Linked DNA regions of Macaca fascicularis. The protein of the gene in region 3 interacts with the protein of the main gene of each other region in a pairwise test. Links are inferred from orthologs where the notes say so. Each region holds a gene or a part of one and is shown on either strand. Other genes may lie near its edges. The genes, in order: DVL3, NINL, KAT7 and VIM.

Evidence for each region.
Region 1: the proteins of KAT7 (region 3) and DVL3 interact in a two-hybrid assay, tested with the Homo sapiens proteins (2 studies listed by BioGRID and IntAct). The two-hybrid records come from large-scale screens. The link is inferred for Macaca fascicularis from reciprocal best matches to the Homo sapiens genes KAT7 and DVL3.
Region 2: the proteins of KAT7 (region 3) and NINL interact in a two-hybrid assay, tested with the Homo sapiens proteins (2 studies listed by BioGRID and IntAct). The two-hybrid records come from large-scale screens. The link is inferred for Macaca fascicularis from reciprocal best matches to the Homo sapiens genes KAT7 and NINL.
Region 4: the proteins of KAT7 (region 3) and VIM interact in binary tests that used the Homo sapiens proteins (3 or more experiments, as listed by UniProt). The link is inferred for Macaca fascicularis from reciprocal best matches to the Homo sapiens genes KAT7 and VIM.

Annotation. Positions count from the first base shown.
Region 1 is NC_088376.1:96,084,203-96,089,121, forward strand, and holds part of DVL3 (segment polarity protein dishevelled homolog DVL-3), read left to right. Parts: coding exon 1-97; intron 98-274; coding exon 275-368; intron 369-583; coding exon 584-653; intron 654-1,278; coding exon 1,279-1,418; intron 1,419-1,598; coding exon 1,599-1,675; intron 1,676-1,757; coding exon 1,758-1,825; intron 1,826-1,977; coding exon 1,978-2,127; intron 2,128-2,730; coding exon 2,731-2,862; intron 2,863-3,048; coding exon 3,049-3,216; intron 3,217-4,919. UniProt on the Homo sapiens protein: Involved in the signal transduction pathway mediated by multiple Wnt genes.
Region 2 is NC_088384.1:61,899,965-61,904,883, forward strand, and holds part of NINL (ninein-like protein), read left to right. Parts: intron 1-577; coding exon 578-748; exon of another isoform or gene 749-869; coding exon of another isoform or gene 870-890; intron 891-3,590; coding exon 3,591-3,742; intron 3,743-4,919. UniProt on the Homo sapiens protein: Involved in the microtubule organization in interphase cells. Overexpression induces the fragmentation of the Golgi, and causes lysosomes to disperse toward the cell periphery; it also interferes with mitotic spindle assembly.
Region 3 is NC_088390.1:56,919,816-56,925,346, reverse strand, and holds the start of KAT7 (histone acetyltransferase KAT7), read left to right. Parts: upstream 1-1,974; 5' UTR 1,975-2,131; coding exon 2,132-2,146; intron 2,147-5,529; coding exon 5,530-5,531. UniProt on the Homo sapiens protein: Catalytic subunit of histone acetyltransferase HBO1 complexes, which specifically mediate acetylation of histone H3 at 'Lys-14' (H3K14ac), thereby regulating various processes, such as gene transcription, protein ubiquitination, immune regulation, stem cell pluripotent and self-renewal maintenance and embryonic development.
Region 4 is NC_088383.1:18,135,731-18,141,414, reverse strand, and holds the start of VIM (vimentin), read right to left. Parts: upstream 3,514-5,684; 5' UTR 3,369-3,513; coding exon 2,806-3,368; intron 2,142-2,805; coding exon 2,081-2,141; intron 1-2,080. UniProt on the Homo sapiens protein: Vimentins are class-III intermediate filaments found in various non-epithelial cells, especially mesenchymal cells. Vimentin is attached to the nucleus, endoplasmic reticulum, and mitochondria, either laterally or terminally.

The DNA.
Region 1 (4,919 bases), on a different chromosome or scaffold from region 3:
GAGAACCAGGGGGTTATGATAGCTCATCCACCCTTATGAGCAGCGAGCTGGAGACCACCAGCTTCTTTGACTCAGATGAGGATGATTCCACCAGCAGGTGGGGCTTGAGTTTCATGGGGATTGTGGGGCAGGTGACCCTGGAGGAGCCCTAAACCCTGAGGAGGCAGGGCCCTGGGAGGCTTACGGGCTTTGTGTTGGGGACCCAGGCCCTGCAGTGCCTCTCATGGGGGCAGGGCTGGGCCAGCCTGGTGGGGAACGACTGTGGGCCCCACAGGTTCAGCAGCTCCACAGAACAGAGCAGCGCCTCACGCCTGATGAGAAGACACAAGCGGCGGCGGCGGAAGCAGAAGGTTTCTCGGATTGAGCGGGTATGGGGTCTGGGAGGCTAGGGATGGGTGGAGGTAGATTGTAAGCTCTTCCTAGGCTGGGCCAAGGCTTGTTTTTCCTTAGATCCCATCCCCTTAGTGCACTGTTTAGAACCTTGGGGCAGGGGGCAACACTGAGGACTCACCTTGAGGAGGAGCCAGGTGGGAGTGAATTCCTGCCACCCCTGCCTACTGCTCAGGGCCTCTGTCTATTTCAGTCCTCATCCTTCAGCAGCATCACGGACTCCACTATGTCACTCAACATCATCACGGTCACTCTCAACATGGGTGAGTCTGAGGAAACAGCACTCTAAAGCACTTGCTATGTGCCAGACACTGGGCAGACTTGAGGAGCTCAGAGAGGCACAGAATATGTTCCCTGCCCTCAGGGAGCTCTCTTTCATAAATATCAGCTGATACATAAACTGATCATTTTAGTGTCTCACCATCAGGGCTATGACAGAGATAAGCACAGAGAGCTGTGGAAGCAGAAAATGGCATCAGGGAAGGATTCCTGGAGGAAGTAATTTCTGAGTGCCCACTCCTTCACATCTCTCAGCCATTGCATCCTTTCTCTCTGATTTCTCTCTTTACGAGGCAGCTGGATATAGTAAAAGGAGCCCAACTTTGGGATTTAAATCTGAGTTTGATTCCTGGCTCTGCCAGTTACTGGCTTAGGAAAGTCATCTTCTAGGTTCACTAAACCTCAGTTGCCTGCTGTGTAAAATGGGACTGAGTCCCTACCTTACAGCCAGCAAGGATTCCATGGAAGCATGTTGAGCATGCTGAGTGCAGTGCCTGATTCAGGATCAGTAAATGTCAGTTCAGTTCCTGTCCCTTTCCATTTTCTAATGGGCTGGGAATGCGGGTAGGAACCTTGCTCCCCCTTAAGGTCTTAAATTGCTCTCTATAGAAAAATATAACTTCTTGGGCATCTCCATTGTGGGCCAAAGCAACGAGCGTGGTGACGGCGGCATCTACATTGGCTCTATCATGAAGGGTGGGGCTGTGGCTGCTGATGGACGCATCGAGCCAGGAGATATGCTGTTACAGGTATCAGTGCCCATCCTAGGCGGTGGTGTGGATAGAGAGCCGGGAGGTGTCCTACTATCTGCACCCTGCTCATTCAGAGGCCCTTTCTTGGTTGAGGGAAGACTCCCTGACCTACCAACTTGAGTTCCCCTTTCATCCTCCCCAACACAGCTATTTATCCCACTCCTGGTCCTTTCCCAGGTAAACGAGATCAACTTTGAGAACATGAGTAATGACGATGCAGTCCGGGTACTGCGGGAGATTGTGCACAAACCGGGGTATGGATGGAATGGGGCACTGGGCAAGGGGCTTGGTCTGGCCTGTACACATCCTGCCTTCACAGGACACCCTTGTTTTCAGGCCCATCACCCTGACTGTAGCCAAGTGCTGGGACCCAAGTCCACGTGGTTGCTTCACATTGCCCAGGAGTAAGTGGATGGGAGACTCAGTCCTAAAGCTGGTGCTTACATACATGAGCACTGTCTCTCCTTTCTTCTCTCACCCAGAGCCCCCACATCTATCCTGTTGGGCCCAGCAGTGGGCAGGGTGGGTAGCCCATGACTCCTCATCCTCCCTGCAGGCGAGCCCATCCGGCCCATTGACCCTGCGGCCTGGGTCTCCCACACTGCAGCCATGACCGGCACCTTCCCTGCATACGGCATGAGCCCCTCCCTGAGCACCATCACCTCCACCAGCTCCTCCATCACCAGTTCCATCCCTGACACAGAGCGTGAGTGTCCAACCCTGTGTCCTGGGCCCAGCAGACAGGGCCAGGTGGGAGGACTGATGAGGGTCCATGTGGAGACTCTTGCTTGAGCATCAGAGAGGGCCGGAGATGGGGCTCGGCTCATTCTAGCAACCCCACACTGCAACTCCCCCACAGTGGGCACTCCAACCCTCACTAAACAGTGTTTGCTTCTGAACCTGTATGAGCACCCAGGGCGCCTCAGTTTCCTCTTATAAAATGGGACTCACGAAATAAACTACCAGGTTCCTGTGGGTTTAATGAGAGGATCTAAGTGAAGCACCACTGCGATGTGTGGTGTAAAGTAAGCATTCAGTAAACGGCAGCCATTTCGATTATCATCACATGTATATCGCACACTGTGCCAAGCATCTGCATTTATATTATTTAATCCTTTCTTCAAATAGCCTTGTAAAGTAGATATGAAAATCCCCATTTTTTATAGAAGGGGAAACTGAGAGTTCAAGAAATCAGTAATTTTCCCAGCATTGGTCCCATAATTACTAGGTGGTAGAGCTAGAATGCAAACTCTTGTTTACCAAACTCCAAAGCCCCTTTCTGCCTCACCATTCTGCCTCCCACCCCCAGGCCTAGACGACTTCCACTTGTCCATCCACAGTGACATGGCTGCCATCGTAAAAGCCATGGCCTCCCCTGAATCAGGGTTGGAGGTCCGTGACCGCATGTGGCTCAAGATTACCATCCCTAATGCTTTCATCGGTGAGAGAGCCCCATGGTGGGATGCAGGGTGGGTGGGGAGTGATGGGGCAGGGCAGGCTGGAGGGCCCAGGACTTCCCTTGGACCCTTCCTTTGAGCTGGAGCCAGCCCCAGCCTCATAGCTTCTGTGAGGCCAGATGAGTCCAAGTCAGATGGGCCTCCCCATCAACTGGCAGCCTTGCCCCCAGGCTCAGATGTAGTGGACTGGCTGTACCACAATGTGGAAGGCTTCACGGACCGGAGGGAGGCCCGCAAGTATGCTAGCAACCTGCTGAAAGCTGGCTTCATCCGCCATACCGTCAACAAGATCACCTTCTCCGAGCAGTGCTACTACATCTTCGGCGACCTCTGCGGCAGTATGTGCCTCCCTCACCTTCTTGCCCTGTCTCCTGGCTGTGAGTGGGGAGGTAGCCAGGGAGGTGGCAGCAGACTCTGGGGAACCCAAATTGGGGGACAGCAGAGCCGGGGGCCCAACTCAAGGCCTGAGAGTTCTGTGGTGGAAGAAGAGTCCAATCTAGCCTCTTCACCTGGCCCACATCTCCCTCTTGGGCCTGGCATTTTCTAAGTGCCTGCTCTGCCTGGTACCATGCTGACTGTTCCTAAAGCATCATCTTACTCAATCCTCACAACCTCCCAGAGGCCCAGCTCAGGAGGATACTGCCAGAACAGGCCTTTTCCTTCTCACTGGTCTCTGCTAGGGGTGTTGCAGGCTTAAAGGGAAGAACTGGAGGCCTAGGTAGCCCCAAGGAGCACACAGTCATTCCCTCTAAACAACAGCCTGGAGGCTCACGTCGCCACCAGCTCTGGGCAACAGCTGACACAGACCACTGCTTTCCTCCACCACCACTCCCCATGCTGGCTGCTGGCCTCTTGACAGGTTGATGGCTTGGCTGCAGGCTCCACAGGCAGCCTCAGAGCCCTGTGTCCTGACTTCTCTCCTGGAGGTTGGGCTGGCTCTCCTTAGGGCTGGAGGAATGTCTCATCTTAATAGGGCGGGTGGCCTCAAGGGCAGTCGTAGCTCTCTTGAGGCTCTGGGACCTGGTACCGATAGTGTGTGAGCAGAGGGTGTCCCAGGCAGGTATTCAGTTCTGGTGGCCCCTTATACTCTCTTCAAGGTAGTTCCAACAATGGTGGGAGCAGCCTTGCCCTTAAGGAATGTATAATTTCCCTGGGGGCGCCAGAGTCCGTGAGATGAGTTGTTGGAGTGAGACAGAGCTATGAAGAGCCAGGGCTGGCCGGGAACGGGGTGGAGAGCACTGGGGGAGGCACCTAAGTTGTTCTTTGCTTCTGGCCCCTTCCAACCTACTCCAGCAGCACCAGGAAAGTGTAATCAGGGCCAAGTACCTTCTATATAGGGAATCTCTGGCAGGCCCTGCACTCATTCTAGGCTTTTAGTGGGTATTTAGTTCTAGGTGAGGGGGTGGGTAAAACTTTACCTAAATTTCCCAAACTGCTCCTTGCTCCTAAAGAATGACCTCATCTGAGAAGGTAAGGAGAAACTAAGCTACTCTTAGCTTCTGTTCTGATTAGTTTAGGCTGAGCTGAAGGTAGTGTTCACTATTGTGCTTCATGAACTTCAGGTGCGACATACCTGGTGGCTGTCTGGTATTTCAGCCTTCCAAATTCTCCAACCTTGCACCAGCTGAGTGAACAGAAGAGAAAATGGCCACATAAGAGTTTTGCAGGCCGGGCTCATGCCTGTAATCCCAGCCCTTTGGGAGGCTGAGGTGGGAGATCACCTGAGGTTAGGAGTTGGAGACCAGCCTGGCCAACATGGTGAAACCCTGTCTCTACTAAAAATAATAATAATAAAATTAGCCAGGCGTGGTGGTGTGACCCTGTCAGGAGGCTGAGGCAGGAGAATCGCTTGAACCAGGGGGGAGGAGGTTGCAGTGAGCTGAAACTGCACCACTGCACTCCAGCCTTGGCTATAGAATGAGACTCCGTCTCAAAGAGTTTTGCCGCTTCTAGCCCACTGAGGCCAGCAGAGAAAGTGCAAAAGCTTGGCAAGGGCCTTAAAGGGATTGGGAGGTACAGCTTTGGCTAAGAATGATGACTC
Region 2 (4,919 bases), on a different chromosome or scaffold from region 3:
ATGCCTCCTGAACTGGCTTGCCTTCATTGTCGAACGCCAAGTCAGCTTGGCCATGAGCCACCCATGCTGCATTCTGAGGGTCTGGGGGTGTGTGCGCCTCTGCCTGGGTCAGCGCACTTCTGCCCTTCCAACCTGCCTTGGGTTTCTTTTCACAGCTGAGACTTTCCTGGTGCTGGCATGGACTCTCTGGGCCCCTGCCTCTGTGAGGCCAGGCTCCCACCTCTGTGAATTCAAGGGTGGAACGTCAAAACTCCTTTGTCGTCCCTCTCCAAGTGATGATGAGTGTACTGACTGGGGCTGGCCAGTTGGGCCACGTGGGTGCAAGGCCTCAGAGTCCTGGGTGTCGGGGTCCTTGGTTGCATGTCCCGGCTTTCTCACCTGCACAGCCATGTGACCTTGGAGAGGTCATGTGAAGGGGCTGCACCTCTGACCTGTCCTCTGAGAGCTGAGGATGGTCTCATGAGCTGTTCCTGTGAGGCCCTCTGAGCACAGGCTGGGGAGGATGGAGAGCACATCAGCAGCGCACGGGCGTGAGGCTTTGGACGCTGGGTGCTATGGGAGTCTTCCTGACGTGCAGGTCCCAGAGGAGAGCGGCTGCCACACCACCACGACCTCATCCCTCGTGTCCCTGTGCTCCAGCCTGCGCCTCTTCTCCAGCATTGACGATGGTTCTGGCTTCGCTTTTCCTGATCAGGTCCTGGCCATGTGGACCCAAGAGGGGATTCAGAATGGCAGGGAGATCTTGCAGGTTTGGAACTGGGTGATGCCTGAGCTGGACAGGGAACCTGGGGGGCCCGTCTGCTGCAGAGGAGGATGGATGGAGCACCCCAAGCCAGGGACCCAGCAGGGGTTTGTGCTCTGTGCAGAGAATGCCATGCAAGGAAGTCCAGGTAGAAACCTATATCTTTTAATTTTTGCTACTAAAATATAGGACATTATAATTTAAAAGGATAAGAAATAAAATACAAAGATAGTGTGAAAAAGTCAATTTGAAGGTAGCCTTTAGTGGCTTAGACATTTTCCCTGAATGTTGGGCCAAGGAGGTTAGATGAATGGAAGGAAATTGCCTGTTGTGATGTCGATGTCTGTTGGGCACCACTGTCACTGCAGTTACTGATGAGCTCAGAGTGAGCCCGAACTCTCCTGGAGCCCCTGCCTGGCTGGTTGGGCTGTTCTCCCCCATGGCACCCACTTACCCCAGGCCCTTCCCGCCATGGGCCAGGTGTCAGGAGGCGCACCCTTCCCTCTGTGTTCTGCTGGGGCTGCCTGGGAGGGAAGATGTGGTCCTCGCATGGGACACAGCTCCTCACAGGCTCAGGCTTCCCAGAGGGACGCAGGCCAGCCCTGGAGATTTGGAAGGAGCTCTGCCCTGGGCACAATTTGGTGACACCTGTGCAGGGGCAGAGGTGTGCAGGGGCCCAGCATGGGTGAGGAAAGACAGCCTCACGAGGTACAGTGGACTAGACTTATTATTTTCATTACTTTCCATTGTTAGAAAGGATGTCAACTGAACAAAAACCTATTAAATAAGAAAGAAAGCCTACCTGCCCCTCCCCCATTCCCTGGAGGGGGTGACAGCTGTTGGTGTGGTGGGCGTCCTGCAGAACTTTTCCCTGGCACATGAGAGATGCATATTATTTATACATTCTGACAATATATATATATATTTTTTGCAAAATTGGTGTCATACCGTTTGTCTTGCAAATTTATGCAACCCTTCACTTTTCCTATGAAAAATCTGAGCATTGGCCGGGCGCGGTGGCTCAAGCCTGTAATTCCAGCACTTTGGGAGGCCGAGACGGGCGGATCATGAGGTCAGGAGATCGAGACCATCCTGGCTAAAACGGTGAAACCCCGTCTCTACTAAAAAATACAAAAAACTAGCCGGGTGCAGTGGCGGGCGCCTGTAGTCCCAGCTACTCGGGAGGCTGAGGCAGGAGAATGGCGTGAACCCGGGAGGCGGAGCTTACAGTGAGCTGAGATCCGGCCACTGCACTCCAGCCTGGGCGACAGAGCGAGACTCCATCTCAAAAAAAAAAAAAAAAAAGAAAAGAAAAATCTGAGCATTTATATGCATCGATGTCCTCTTGCTGCTATGCTGGCATTTCTCTGAGGCTGGACTCCTGGAGTTGCACCCTGTAACTCTTGGAGGCTCTGTCATATTCCCTGAGAAAATGTCCTGTTGGCACAGACAGACAATACAGGAAGGAGCCCAGACAGCCCTTGAAACAGTCCACTCAACTCCACGGACCAAGACCCTCATAGGCCCAACCTCATCTGTTACTGAGTCCCCCAAGATGGCAAAGCCAGACCTGTACAGCTGGCCTCACAACTGTCCTGAGAGCCAGAGGCGGAGGCAGGATCACCAAAAATCGCTTGCAGGAAGGGCAGAGAGCACAGGTCTCTCAGTTCCAAGATGCCTGACACCTGACTCCACAGCTCTGGGAGTTCCCTGGCTGCTGTTGTGCCCTGGCTCTGATGAGTACATCTTGCCTCTGCCCTTTCAGAACTTATTCTCTTTCCCATTTGCACTAGAGCTGCTGGTGCTGCTCTGCAAAGACACCCTGGGTGGCTTCTCCCTCACTTCATAATAGATTGCTGCCAAATTCTGCCTTGCAACTCAGTGTCATTTCTGACCTCAGGCTGCTGTGGCGGCTCTGTCCCTCTATGCCATCCAGTGACGTGGCGGGGAGCGTGTGCTTGTGTAGGGACAGCTTTCCAGGCAGCTCCCCAGCCTCTGCCAAGATGCCATTGCTCCTCAGGAGCTGCTGGGAAGTGGGCAGCGTGGAAAGTCAGCCCCTACTTCACGGGAGACTCTGGGCCGGGTTTCTCCTGGCACCTGCTTCAGCCACCCTGCCATGGTGCCTGCCGCTGGCCTGAGCAGGGCGTTTGTAGCCACAAGTGGAAAGCAGAGCCAGGAATACCCGAGGCGGAAAAGGCAGAGGCAGAAAAAGCAAACGCGACAGAACGTTAGCTGCCGCTCCCTTGAGCTGAGGGGCTTAGGGTGTGTGTGGCTCTATTTTTTGTTGTATCAGTAGAATGCCAGCTGTTCTGTGCTTTGAAGTTTGTGAGGTGTATTCTTCACACTTCTGAGGGGAAGAACAGTCCGCTCTGGAAAGCTTTTTGGTTCTAAGCCTGAGGGCTGCTGTGGGGACCCTCTCCATCTCTCTAAACTCTTCCTGGTGGCATGAGCTGCAGGGCAGGCCTCATCGCAGGGAATCCCAAGGCTCACATCCTTAAAACAGATTATTTCAGAGGGAAAAGGGCCTTGTGCTCTGGCCTCACAGCAGTCCCCATGAAGGGCCTGCAGGGGACTTGCCCCTGCCTGTGTCTGACACTTTGTCCAGGAAGAGGAATTCTGTCTAGCCTGGGCCTATGCACCCCTGAGGCAGAGGCAGGAGGACCAGGCCATTGACAGCCCACCAGAGTTGCGAGGGATGGAGGAGGAGCACCCCTCAAGACGCAGAGACCTTGGCAGACAGGAGGGGCGGGTGCTGCCTGGGACAGTCATGCTGGGCTAGGCCCTGGACCAGGGAGGGAGCAGAGAGGTGTCTGCTTGGGGAAGTCCCTCAGCCTCTCCTGCTTACCAGGCTTGCTGCTTCCAGAGCCTGGACTTCAGTGTGGACGAGAAGGTGAACCTTCTGGAGCTGACCTGGGCCCTTGACAACGAGCTCATGACAGTGGACAGTGCCGTCCAGCAGGCAGCCCTGGCCTGCTACCACCAGGAACTGAGCTACCAGCAGTAAGAGGCCGCAGGGGACTGGGGAACGTGGCAGTGTGGCTGGCCAGGTGGGCCTGGAGGGGTGTCTGGGACACACAGGATACCAGTTGGCTCTTGTCCACACCACATGGTCAGTCCTGGGGCAGGGCTCTGCACACCGTCTGTCCCGTGCTCTCTGGTCCCTGAAGCCGGCGCTCGCAGAGGGATAGGAGTAGAATCTAGCCACGGAGCATGGACAGGTGAATGGCAGCCGCTCATTCATGTGTGTGGGCTGGGTGGGGCCTGAGGACCTGGGCTGTCTGAGTCCACACAATTTAAGGCTTGCTGGCTTCCCTCCCACTTGTTGAGGCTTGGGATCTGTATGTTGGGGGCCCCCACTGAGCCCTTTTTATTGAGGTTTCTAAAGGACAGACCTGAGGCCCCGCCTCATCCTGCTGGTGCAGGCGCTCACCAGCGCCAGGTGGGGTCCTGCCGCTGCCTCTAGCGCCAGGGGGCTCCCAGACTGGGCTGTCAACAGGAGGAAGAAAAGGTGCTTTTCAAACGTGGTCACAAAGTACCCCGTGAGGGGCCGAGAACCCATTCCCTTTTAATTGTGTCTGTTTGCTGTGGCTGACCATTCAGGCCATCCGTCTGCTAAGCAGATTTGCAAAAAGATTGTTGTGTTTTTGTCAATGTTCTGAAGCTGCAGAAAAGATTGACAGAAACCACAATCTCAGTCCTAAAGACTGCATCTGTCCACATGCTGACAGCGGAGCCTCTGGCCTCAGGCAGCTCTGCAGATAGAACCAGAGAAAGGCTTGACCAGGTCCCTCCCTTGGCCTTGGGACAGGAAGGGAGAAAAGCTCCTTCGGCGGGGAAATAGTCACTGGAATAGCAGGTGCCACCAGTGATTTACACAGTGCCTCAGCCAGGTCAGGGTGGCCACAGAGCTGAGACCACACACACCCACTGTGTTGTGCTCTGGTGACTCACTGTGTGCTCACTAGGGTGCTGGGATGCCCATGCAGGGCTAACAGGTGGCCAGCCTCCTCCCCGCCATGTGCCCGTTACTGAATTAGGCACTTGTGATCCACACCCAGCTGCCGATGAGAGGGCTCACAGACCAACTACCACACACCCTGGGGCTGCCTAAGCAACGTGGCATGCTGTGGAACTCCAGGCTCAGTCTTCCTGGGTTAGAAACCACCAAGAAACTTTC
Region 3 (5,531 bases):
TGAGCCAAGATTGTGCCATTGCACTCCAGCCTGGCAACAAGAGCAAAACTCTGTCTCAAAAAAAAAAAAAAAAAAAAAAGAAAGGCTGGTATGGCTGGGAGTGGTGGCTCACACCTAAAACCCCAGCACTCTGGAAGGCCGAGACAGGCGGATCACCTGAGATTAGTAGTTCAAGACCAGCCTGGGCAACATGGTGAAACTCTGTCTCTACAAAAAATAAGCCGAGTGTGATGGCACACGCCTGTAGTCCCAGCTACTTGGGAGGCTGAGGCAAGAGAATCCCTTGAGCCCAGGAGGCGGAGCTTGCAGTGAGCTGACATTCAACCACTCCAGCCTGGGCTACACAGCAAGACTCTATCTAGGAAGAAAAAAAAAAAAAAAGAAGAAGAGAGAGAGAAAAAAAGAAGGATGGTATGAAATAATTGAGATATGCTCTTAATATAAGAGATTCTTACCACCAGTTGGGGAGCCAGAACATTCAAATGTAACCTCAGGAACATATCAGTAAGTGCAAAATAACAGAGTAATGGTATGAAATTAAATGCTTAAGTGGTGAGGGGCTACAAAGGAAGAAGTAATGTGAGCCATTTTCAAGTAAGTTCTTACGTGCAGTTCAACCTAAGTAGGTTATCAAAGGTATTTATACTAAGCACTAAAAGCTAAGTATTAAATACTAAAAGCTGCCTGTGTCAACACTGGCCCAGGACATCCCCAAGGAGAGTGCTGGCTAAGGGTCTGGAACTTTAACTCTTTTGAGTTCTTTACTTAGCACATCAATCAGATGTTTACCTTCTGCTACTTTGTTCTTTAGCCCCTGGGGAAAATCTCCATCTTAACGGGGGGAAATCTCCATCTAAAGGGGCCTCAGATTGAAATTGGGGTTAGGGATCCTAACTTAATGACTGAGCGTGCCTGGGTTCCACCCAGCCGCAATTGGGCAAGACTTGGTCCTCTCAAGGCCTTTCCTCCAGAGAGGTTAAATCTTCAACGCCTGCTCTCCACTTTCCAGCCTTTTCTTAAGGGTCTTCTTTCAGCCTAGTATCAGTGACCAACCTCTCCTTCCTAGGCCCTCTCATTATTATTCAAATTTCCATTCTTTTGGGGGCTTCAGCTTCAGTAAAAACATTCCCTCTTCTTCCTCCGCCTCAAGCATCTGGATTCCAGAGGTCATTTGAGCTAAATGGGGTTCAATGCTTTTCTGACTCTGGTACTGCATTCCCGGGACACTTTCAAATCACATTTTTCACCCCAGGGCCCCCAGTGGTCTCAAACCCAAACACAGTGCGGGAAGGAAGTGGGCGCTCGCCACAGAGCTAAATTGGGAATTCTTTGAGCTGCAGCTTCTGGAGAATGGTTTTGCCTCCTCCCCGCGACATCAACTAACTTACTTGCTGTTAGCTAAGAGCAAGGACAATGTCTCCTCTACCAGACAGGAAACTTCCTGATGGCGGACGCTACCCTTTAGTTCCTTTTTCAATTCCCCATTCCCACCCCTTCGGCACCAGGATGGTTCTTAAAATACAAAGTTTCTTTCACAAAACATCCCTCTGCAACTTTTGAGTTTATGTAATAAACGGAAACGTCCTTTAAACAATCAGGCAACGAAGGGGTTAAATCTAATCTCAGCAACCTGATGGATTCCGGGGGGTTTCCTTCCTCGACTCTGGAAATTAAAACGACCGGGAAGGGAAATTTTGCCCTAGGTAAAGATGAGAACCGTTTACATCAACTGTCAGGCTTCTGCCCCAAACAAGAATGGCTACCCACGCCCACAAACAGCGCCACTCACGTTAACTAAAAATGGCTGGCCCCGGATTCCACCACTGGAGTCACTTTCTGCCCAACTTCAAAATGGCGCCCACTAGCTTCACCAAAAGGATCTAATCTCCCAGCACCCTCTTTGGCCCGTAACGTCAGGGGACGCGAGACCCAGCCGGAAGTGAAGGAAAAAGCGCTTCAGCCCGCGGCGCCTGCGCAGAACGCTCCAGACGCTGAGAGGCAGGAGGCACTAGGGATCGTCCGCAGGATTGGGACTGCTACAGAGGCCGCCACGGAGCCCGCCGGAGCCACCGTTCCTGCTGCTGCTGCCGCCGCTGCCCGAATCGGAACCGTCGGGCCGCAGCCGCCGGCAATGCCGCGAAGGAAGGTGAGAAACGGGAGAGGAGGGATGGCGGGTTTCTAAGGACAGTCGATTGAGCACCGTGACGCAGTTGGCCACGCCTCACAGTGCTTGGGTCCCAACTTCCCGCTCCCCCGAACCTTGCTCAGCCACCCTCTCTTCTGTCCATATCCAACAGAAAAATGTGGGCCCGACCCTGGCCTCGGCCTATGCTTGCAACTATTCCCGCCCTCTGCTTGCCTGGATCGGAGGCGTTCTTATTAATTGGTCGCTGAAACGTCAGGAAGCATATTGATTGGCTGGTGACGCCGCCTGTTTGGGCTCAACGGTCACCTCCCCGCGTGCGGGGGCGGTGTCTGGCCCCGGCCCTAGCGCTCTCCCACTGGCTGGAGAGAACGATCCCTCCTCTCCTGATTGGTCGGGGTTGGCAGTCTGTCCTGTGGGGGCGCGGCTTAGGCGGACCTCGATTGGGTGGCCCGAATCCCCGCCTTTCCGAGCGGGGACGCTGATAGGTGCAGAGGCGGGGTTTTGGAGGCCTCGTTACTTTCCAGGTGAGGGGCACAACAAAGCAGAAGACTGGGTGGTGGGAAGCCGGCGCCCACTCCCATGGGATCCCACTCAGGCCAGTTGCCTCCAAGCGGTAATCTTTACTTGCTAGTTCGACAGCTCCTAGAAAATGCAGTTGGCAAAAACCGAAACCTTCTAGAATTAGAAGGGACTTAGGAGGTCACCCAGGAATGGCCCCCTACTTCTTACAGTTGAACTAACGGAGGTCCATGGAGTGCCGCAAGCCACTCAGGCAGTGGCAGGTCCAGAATATAGAACAAATCTAACTCAATTGAATAAATGTCTATTGATTACTTTCTGCGCGGTGGTTGCTGACGATTCAGAAATTTATTAGACGTGATCCCTGGCTTAAGGGTATCACAGCCCGATAGGAGAAAACAGACATGAATAACCTTAGGACGATCTAGTAAGTTCTCTGCTTGGAGGTGTATACAAAGTGTTACAGGAAGGAAGTGAAGGAGCAGTTGGTCTGCTCTGGAGTACAATGGGAGGTATACTGGTAAAAGCCACAGGGAAGAGCTGAGTTCCAGGATCAAGCCAGGAAGGAACAAGTCTCACATCAACGCTTTAAATATCTAGATAATTAGACTGTAATGGTGACTTTTAAGATTCCCCCTTCATTTTAGCTGTTTTCTGTGATTCTTGCTTATTTTAGACATTTTCTGTGATTCTTGCTCATTTCCTGGCAGGTTACCCTTGAGATATTTGGAAAACTGGGTGGTATTCTTGCTCATTTCAGTAGAAATCTTTCTCTTCACAGAGGTTTTTCAGGCTGAAAATGTATGCTTTTTAATGTCTCCTAAAATGATCTCAGCTGGTGGGTGGTATGTATGGTTTTTTTTTTTTTTTTTTTTTTTTAAGATGGAGTTTTGCTCTTGTTGCCCAGGTCGGAGTGCAATGGCATGATCTCGGCTCACTGCAACCTCTGTCTTCCGGCTTCAAGCGATTCTCCTGCCTCAGTCTCCCTAGTAGCTGGGATTACAGGCGGATTCCATGACGCCCAGCTAATTTTTGTGTGTTTAGTAGAGACAGCATTTCACCATGTTGGTCAGGCTGGTTTTGAACTCCTGACCTCAGGTGATCCACCCGCCTCGGCCTCCCAAAGTACTGGGATTGAAGGCATGAGCCACCGCGCCCAGCCGGTGGTATGTGTGTTAAGGCTCACTAAATGCAGGAATAATATTGGTGCCTTGAAATAGGGCCCCAGTCTTCTTTCTTTTTTTTTTTTTTTTTTTTTTTTGAGACGGAGTCTCGCTCTGTAGCCCAGGCTGGAGTGCAGTGGCCGGATCTCAGCTCACTGCAAGCTCCGCCTCCCGGGTTCACGCCATTCTCCAGCCTCAGCCTCCCGAGTAGCTGGGACTACAGGCGCTGCCACCTCGCCCGGCTATTTTTTGTATTTCTTAGTAGAGACGGGGTTTCACCGTGTTAGCCAGGATGGTCTCGATCTCCTGACCTCGTGATCCGCCCATCTCGGCCTCCCAAAGTGCTGGGATTACAGGTTTGAGCCACCGCGCCCGGCCTGTCTTCTTTCTTAATTTCCTGAATACCAGGAGTTTCTTGAAAATGTACATTTTTTTAGTAACCTGTTTGGCGGCAAACCTGTCTTAATCTGTCCTGAGGCTACTTACGGTTTTTGTGTGTCTCATTTAGTGTGACTGTTTATATCTTTTGCTGCAGAAGTATTATGTTTTGTTATTGCACCCAATATTTGCAGGATACATGCAAAGTACTCCCCTTCTAAAAATAAAAAAACAATACGAATTCTAAACACAACTGGCCCTCAGGGTTTTGAATAAAGAATTGGGACTTACAGCGTGAATCTTTGTATTTTTAGCAAATATTTTTTCCTTTCTGGTTTTGTAAAGGGTATAGTGTTAGTGCTCAATTGATAAAAGTTATCTTTATGGCTAAGAAAGAACTCCTGAGGAGGTTAATAATTGACAAATAATTGTTCATTGAAAAGATGGTTTTGAAAACAACTGTTTTTGAATACCCATGAGTCTCCATGTGCAAGCTGCCTTTTTGAAAGATAGATGGCTTTCATGTGGAGAAACTTCAAGGATAGATGGCATACGCAGTAACAATTTTCGTCTTTTTCTGCTTAAATTCTTTTGGGATCAGAGTTGTGGTCCATGATATTTTGAGATGGTATATGGTTTTAAAAAAATATGATAGCTTTTCATGGAGACATTTAACAAAAGCTACTCTAAAGTTAAATGAGGTCTAGCACCAACGATTTTTTCACTACAGTGGACCTTTTTTTGTGATACTGATCTCCGAATGATCTTGGTTCATACTTAGTGCTAATACAGTAAGAATTAATTATCTTCATGGCTGGGTGTGGTGTCTCACGTCTGTAATCCCAGCACTTTGGGAGGCCAAGGCGGGTGGATCACCTGAGGTCAGATGTTCAAGACCAGCCTGGCCAACATAGTGAAACCCCATCTCTACTAAAAATATAGAAGTTAGCTGGGCGTGGTGGTGGGTGCCTGTAGTCCCTGCTACTTGGGAGGCCAAGGCAGGAGAATCACTTGAACCCAGGAGGCGGAAGTTACTGTGAGCTGAGATTGTGCCCTTGCCCTCCAGCCTGGGCAACGGGAGCCAATGAAATGGAAGCTCTTCATTTATTTAACAAAAGTCCCTTATTTGTACATTGTTCCATTTAAGTGTTCTAAATAAAGTGAAGTTGCCTGGGTGGGTGGGAGGATGGGAAATGCTTGTGGAATCCTTTCTTAGGTTTGAACTTGGTGTTTTCGGTGTCACAGCTTGTTTTATTTTCAATGTTAATGCAAACCCTCAGACCAAATGCTTCTGTGCTAATATCTGGATCTATGGTATTACAGAG
Region 4 (5,684 bases), on a different chromosome or scaffold from region 3:
CAAATCTTTTGAAACTTATCCTTAGGCTCCAAAGCAAATATGCAATCATGTGGCATCCATTGTACAAGGCTAGATTTATATTCAATAATAACCCAATTCAGGATATGCTGCCAAAGATTCAGTTCAGGAAAAATTGGAAAAGAAATGTAACTCTGAACTGTATTTTCTCTGCTTTCTCTGATGGATTTTTCTTCTAAAACTCCTTTGACTCATCCTACAAAGGCGTGTCTTTTTCGCTTGCCACTGTATCCGTTCAGTTGGCCTGTTTCAGAATGACTGGTCAAACTTGCAGAGAATGAAACTACATGAAGGATTTTTGCTGATTCAGCTGTCCTTCTATGTTTCCATTTGTAAAGCTCAACATTCCAATTCAGAACATGTAATCTTGCAACTAAGATTTTATTTCCTCTCAAAAGGATGCGTGAGGATTGTTTATCTTGTCAGCAATTATATTTGGAGTTCAGTTTATAGCCTTATGGTCTTAAACTGTTGAGACTTTTCTATCACCTTAGTGGAAAAATGAATGAAGAGTGGGTGATAAAAAGATCAGACTTGATGAAAACATTCATTTTTACTTGCTAAGCCCTAAGAAATACATAAAAGATATTTTACTAATCTCCAAAGAAAGATCAATGTGGTATTACTATTACATTGAAGAGAATGAGGAATTTTGCTTAAAGAGAATGAGGAATTTTGCTTAATCTCGAAACAGAGGATCTTTTGTATTGATGTTGTTTTACGTTAACTCACTACTCTGCAGAAAACATTACAGGTATGATAATCAAAAATGCTCAAGGACTAAAATGAACCACACATTGCTGTGGTTAAATTAATTTGGTAAATGTATTTCAGTTTCAAAATGTTGTACTACACTATTCATCTGAGAGTGCTTTGTAGTTAATCCCAGTAAATATTCCAGGGAATAAAACTATAGACTATAATGGGGATCTTCTGGCTTCTGGATTCCAATTTTAAGTCAAAAATTCTATAAGTCCATCCAATTTTGGTGGGAAAAAAAAAAACGCACAAAAACCCTTTAGTTAAAATTGAATTTTTCAGCCTTAGATTTATTACTATTATTATTATTTTTTATGGCGAGAGTGCTAAAGAATACAAGAATCCAATCAAGAAAGGACTTTCAAAATGTGAGGTATGTTTGTAGCTTTAAAAACTTTTTACATTACATACTTCTCAAGTCTGGGCCAGATATTAGATAACGGATGTTAGCAAATACTTGTGTCCAATTAGAACCGTGCTTACATCACTACATATTCAATAAGAATGTAGCCTGCTGCAAAGCTTCCCCGGGAACACAAAGACTCCTATTATTTCTGTCCACAGCCACCACATTTGCCAGAATGTCTGTATCTACATTCCATAGTGAAGCCCATAGAAACCATTAATACCCCTCAGCCGAGGGGACAGATGGCTCCTTTTCACCCTTATTAGATCACAAAATAGTTGTGCATAGTGATACTTCCATCGAACTTTAATGCCACAATAGAAGTTGCAAAGAAGAAAAGAAACTTGCTGGCTCCATTCCAGTTGGAAACTAAGTTTTCTTATCTTCCAACACGTTTTCCATTTTAAACTGTAGGGCATAACTGCGCTTTTTGTGACCTTGTAAAAATTAAGCGACTTGACTTTGGCAAACCACAATCTAAAATTGTGACCGTTCGAAACCAGAAGGTCAATGTGTTGCAAAACTGTGCAACATTTTGAAAACAAAGTAGAAAGTTAAAAGATTTTTCTTTATGTCCCAAGGAACGGCTTAGAAATCATTCAAGGATCGCTTGAACCCGGGAGGCAGAGGTTGCTGCGAGCCAAGATCTCGCCACTGCACTCCAGCCTGGGCGACAGAGTGAGACTCCGTCCCCCAAAAAAATCGTCCAAGCGGTTTTATTAATATTTTTTCTAATAATGAGAAGCTCCAATCTGTGGTCTTCCCGCCACTAGAGGGCTTTACGCGCAGCCCTGAAGTTTTGCACTTTTTAGACGTGGGTTAAGCAACTTTTAGAATTGCTCGTGGGTTGTGTTGGGTGGGGTCAGGTAGCTGCGAGTGGGAAGAGAGCCTACAAACCTGTCTGAAAGATTGCAGGGTGTTCTCGGCTTCCTCTCTCTGAAGCATCTCCTCCTGCAATCTGAAACAGTTGCGCATTAACCAAAGGGGAACTGGGAAACCGCCAGGGGCGGGGCGGCCACACCCAACCACCACGTAGCCGCGCTGCGCCTCCAGAGCCGCTGCGCCACCTCGGCGCAACTAGCGCTTGCAGCTTTCAGGCCTGTGGCCCTCGGCAGGTTTCAGTGGGACCTTGGGCACCGCGCAGAGGGGCAATCACGGTCGCCGCACAGACCTGCAGGACAGCGCCGCCATACCCACCCCCGAGAGACCATCCCTTTGTCTCGCTCCCTCCACCGCCTTCCCCTCCTTCCTTCGCCCGCCCGGCGATTGGCCGCCCGCCAGAAGGGGCAGGAAACTTTATAAAAGTTTGGAGGACTCGCTCTCATTGTGCCCAAGGGCCTTCAACTGCACACAAAGTGGTAGTTTTAAGAAATCTGTAACTTGAAACGGAGCGTCCTTGGGCAATGTGTGGGGACAGAGGGGGAAATGCGAACTGCAAGGTCTGGGTTCTGGGCGGGGCTGCGCCGCCACAGCCACAGCCGCTGCTCTCCGCAGTCCCCCCGGCAGGCCTCCCCCGGGCCTCATCCCCAAGGGCGTGGCAGCCCTGGCGGGGGCGGGGGGCGTTCCCCTCTCCCTCCAGCCCCCTCCCGAGGCCCAGCGACTTGCAATGGGCGCAGCCTTACTTCTCCCGGAGGCGCATGATGTCCTCGGTCAGGTTGTCGCGCTCCACCTCGACGCGGGCTTTGTCGTTGGTTAGCTGGTCCACCTGCCGGCGCAGCTCCCGCATCTCCTCCTCGTAGAGGTCCCCCAGGCGCGACTTGCCCTGGCCCTTGAGCTGCTCGAGCTCGGCCAGCAGGATCTTATTCTGCTGCTCCAGGAAGCGCACCTTGTCGATGTAGTTGGCGAAGCGGTCATTCAGCTCCTGCAGCTCCACCTTCTCGTTGGTGCGGGTATTCTTGAACTCGGTGTTGATGGCGTCGGCCAGCGAGAAGTCCACCGAGTCCTGGAGGAGCCGCACCCCGGGCACGCTGCTCCGCAGGCGCACGGCAGAGGAGCGCGTGGCATACACGCCGCCCGGGGACGAGGCGTAGAGGCTGCGGCTGGTGCTGGGGCGCAGCGCGCTGCCCAGGCTGTAGGTGCGGGTGGACGTAGTCACGTAGCTCCGGCTGGAGCTCGGCCGGCTCGCGGTGCCCGGGCCGCCGAACATCCTGCGGTAGGAGGACGAGGACACGGACCTGGTGGTCATGGCTGCGGAGGGTGGCGATGGGCTGGGCTGCGGCGGTGGCGCGGACTGGCTCCTAGAGAAGAGGCGGACGAGGGCGCGGTGGGTGTGGGTGGTGGGAGCGCGGCTGAGTCTCTGGCGCGGGGACCTCGGAGCGAGAGTGGCAGAGGACTGGACCCCGCCGAAGGCGCTGTTTTTATAACCGCATTAGGAAGGAGGGTCCCCTCCCACTGCCATCCCAGCGGCGGAGCGCGCCAGCCAATAGGGACCTGGCGAGAAGCGGGGAGGGTGGGCGGGTGGGGTGGGGGCGCCCTCGAGCCTTTCTCCTCCAGGGCCTGGGACTGGGCATGGTCCCGTTACTTCAGCGCTGGGCTGGGACTTTTGGGGCTTTCCGGATGATAGTCTGAGCTGGGCTCACCCTGGGGTGCTGAAAAAGGCGGGGTCGCGCGGTGAGGGGGGATCCGCCCGGGACTGAACCAGAGGAGTCCGGTGGCACCGCGCCAGAGGGGCGTGGGAGGAAGCGCGCGGCTGCCTCGGGGCTGCGGTCAGGTGGGGAGACCCGCGAGCAAAGGAGCGGGAAGAGGGAAGAGTAAGGGATCCGGCAGATCTGAAGTCGCTGAGAAAGAAACAAAGAGCGCCTGAGATTGGAACGCGGGATGGGGGCGCGCACAGCTCAGGAACGCAGGGCTCAGGGCCCCGCGCAGCCTCGCTCACCGCCCGCTTGGAAAGGGGGGCTGCTCCGGCCCGCGCCTCTGTCAGTCGACTTGCCTTGGCTGGGAGATGTTGGGGGGGAGGGGAGGCTCTATCGAGGGACCTAACGGACTCAGTCCAGCTTCGGACGGCGGGAGTTGCCAGGCGGCGGTGGCAGAGGAAAGCCCGAGGGAGAGGGGTGGGGTCGCTGAGTCACCGGTGGTGACTCACCGCGCCCTGCTGTCCCGCCGATTGAGGGCTGCTAAGCGGTTTAGGGGAAACCGTTAGACCAGATTGACTCGAGTCTCCGCGGCTCCGCGCGTGCTGCTGGTTCCCAGTCCTACCAACTTAGAGCTGGGCCATCGCTTTGATGTGTGCGGTGGGGCCCTTTGGGGGACAAGAGCGCCTCTAAGTTCTTATAACTCGCTAAAGCCTGACTTTGCTCGATGTGTGGACTTTTTGTTAGTAAGAAACTTCTTCAGCCTTTGAAGAGGCGCCATACGTGGGCCTCCTGGATCACGATTGCACCGGGAAGGTTTTTCTTGCAGAGTCCCCGCCCCCGTCCCTCCGGTCTCCTCTCGCTCTTCCCCCTCCCCGCGTGAAACCACACCCAACTTTTTAAACAAGATCTGAAAATTCTGGGTGAAAGAGGAAACTCAACGTCCGTAGTTTCAAAATCGAACTCAGTGATCAGTGGTTTTCACCCTGGTGGAAGTTATTAAAGGTATAATTTGAGCCAATGAAATAATTAATTAGGTGTTGCTTAAAAACCCCAATTTGATTAATGAGTTCAAATGAAAGGCAATTATATAACACAAATGACAGAATGTTTGGCGGCAATAGATTTGTGTGTTAATTTTAGGACAGCAATGCACAGTGCAGGGTTCACGGTGATTTGTCTGGGAAATGTCACAGGTCCTGTTTTCCAGAAGAATTCGTGCAATTGACCTTGGGGTGAGGGGGGATAAAACTGTCCACGGAGCAAAAAACTTCGTGTCCCAGGCACGGAGGGAGTGTTCAGATTCGGTCATCTTAACCTTTCTAGGGAAATCACTCAATTCAAGGGCTGTTGTTTCAATATTAGTAACGAGCAGAGCTGAGTACTCACCAGCCAAGGGAGATAAAAGGCGGCTATGTAAATCAGTCTTCTTGTGATTTAGTAGCAATTGAAAAAGCACAGGTTTTTTGAGTATTTAGATTTATGGTGTACTGAAAGGATTAACTACAGAACCACTGTAAAATCGATTCTGCAGTGGATAGGAGGGAAAAAAATGCATTTCTTTCTTTCTTTCTTTCTTTTTGGTGGGGGCAAGGGGTACTGCAGGTTACCTGGTATTTAAGAAAAATAATTTAGAGGCCAATGAAGAGCTTCTTCTGACTTCTTCGGACAAGCCTCTTTTAGGCAATATTTTGTTTACCTTATCCCGGTTCGTTCTTGCAAATGGTGCTGCCAAGGTGGAATTACAGGACTCTCTACTGCCCAGCTCGCCTGCTGGGGCTTTCTTTTATTCTCTCTTTCACTGGGAGGCTGCAGGTCATTCCCCAAGAGCATTCCTGGGGCTGGGTGCCCTGGAGGACAAACCTATGCTCTGAGTTACATCTTGCTTTCTGAGAGCCCTTTATTCAAGCCACTGCTCAGCAAATGTCACC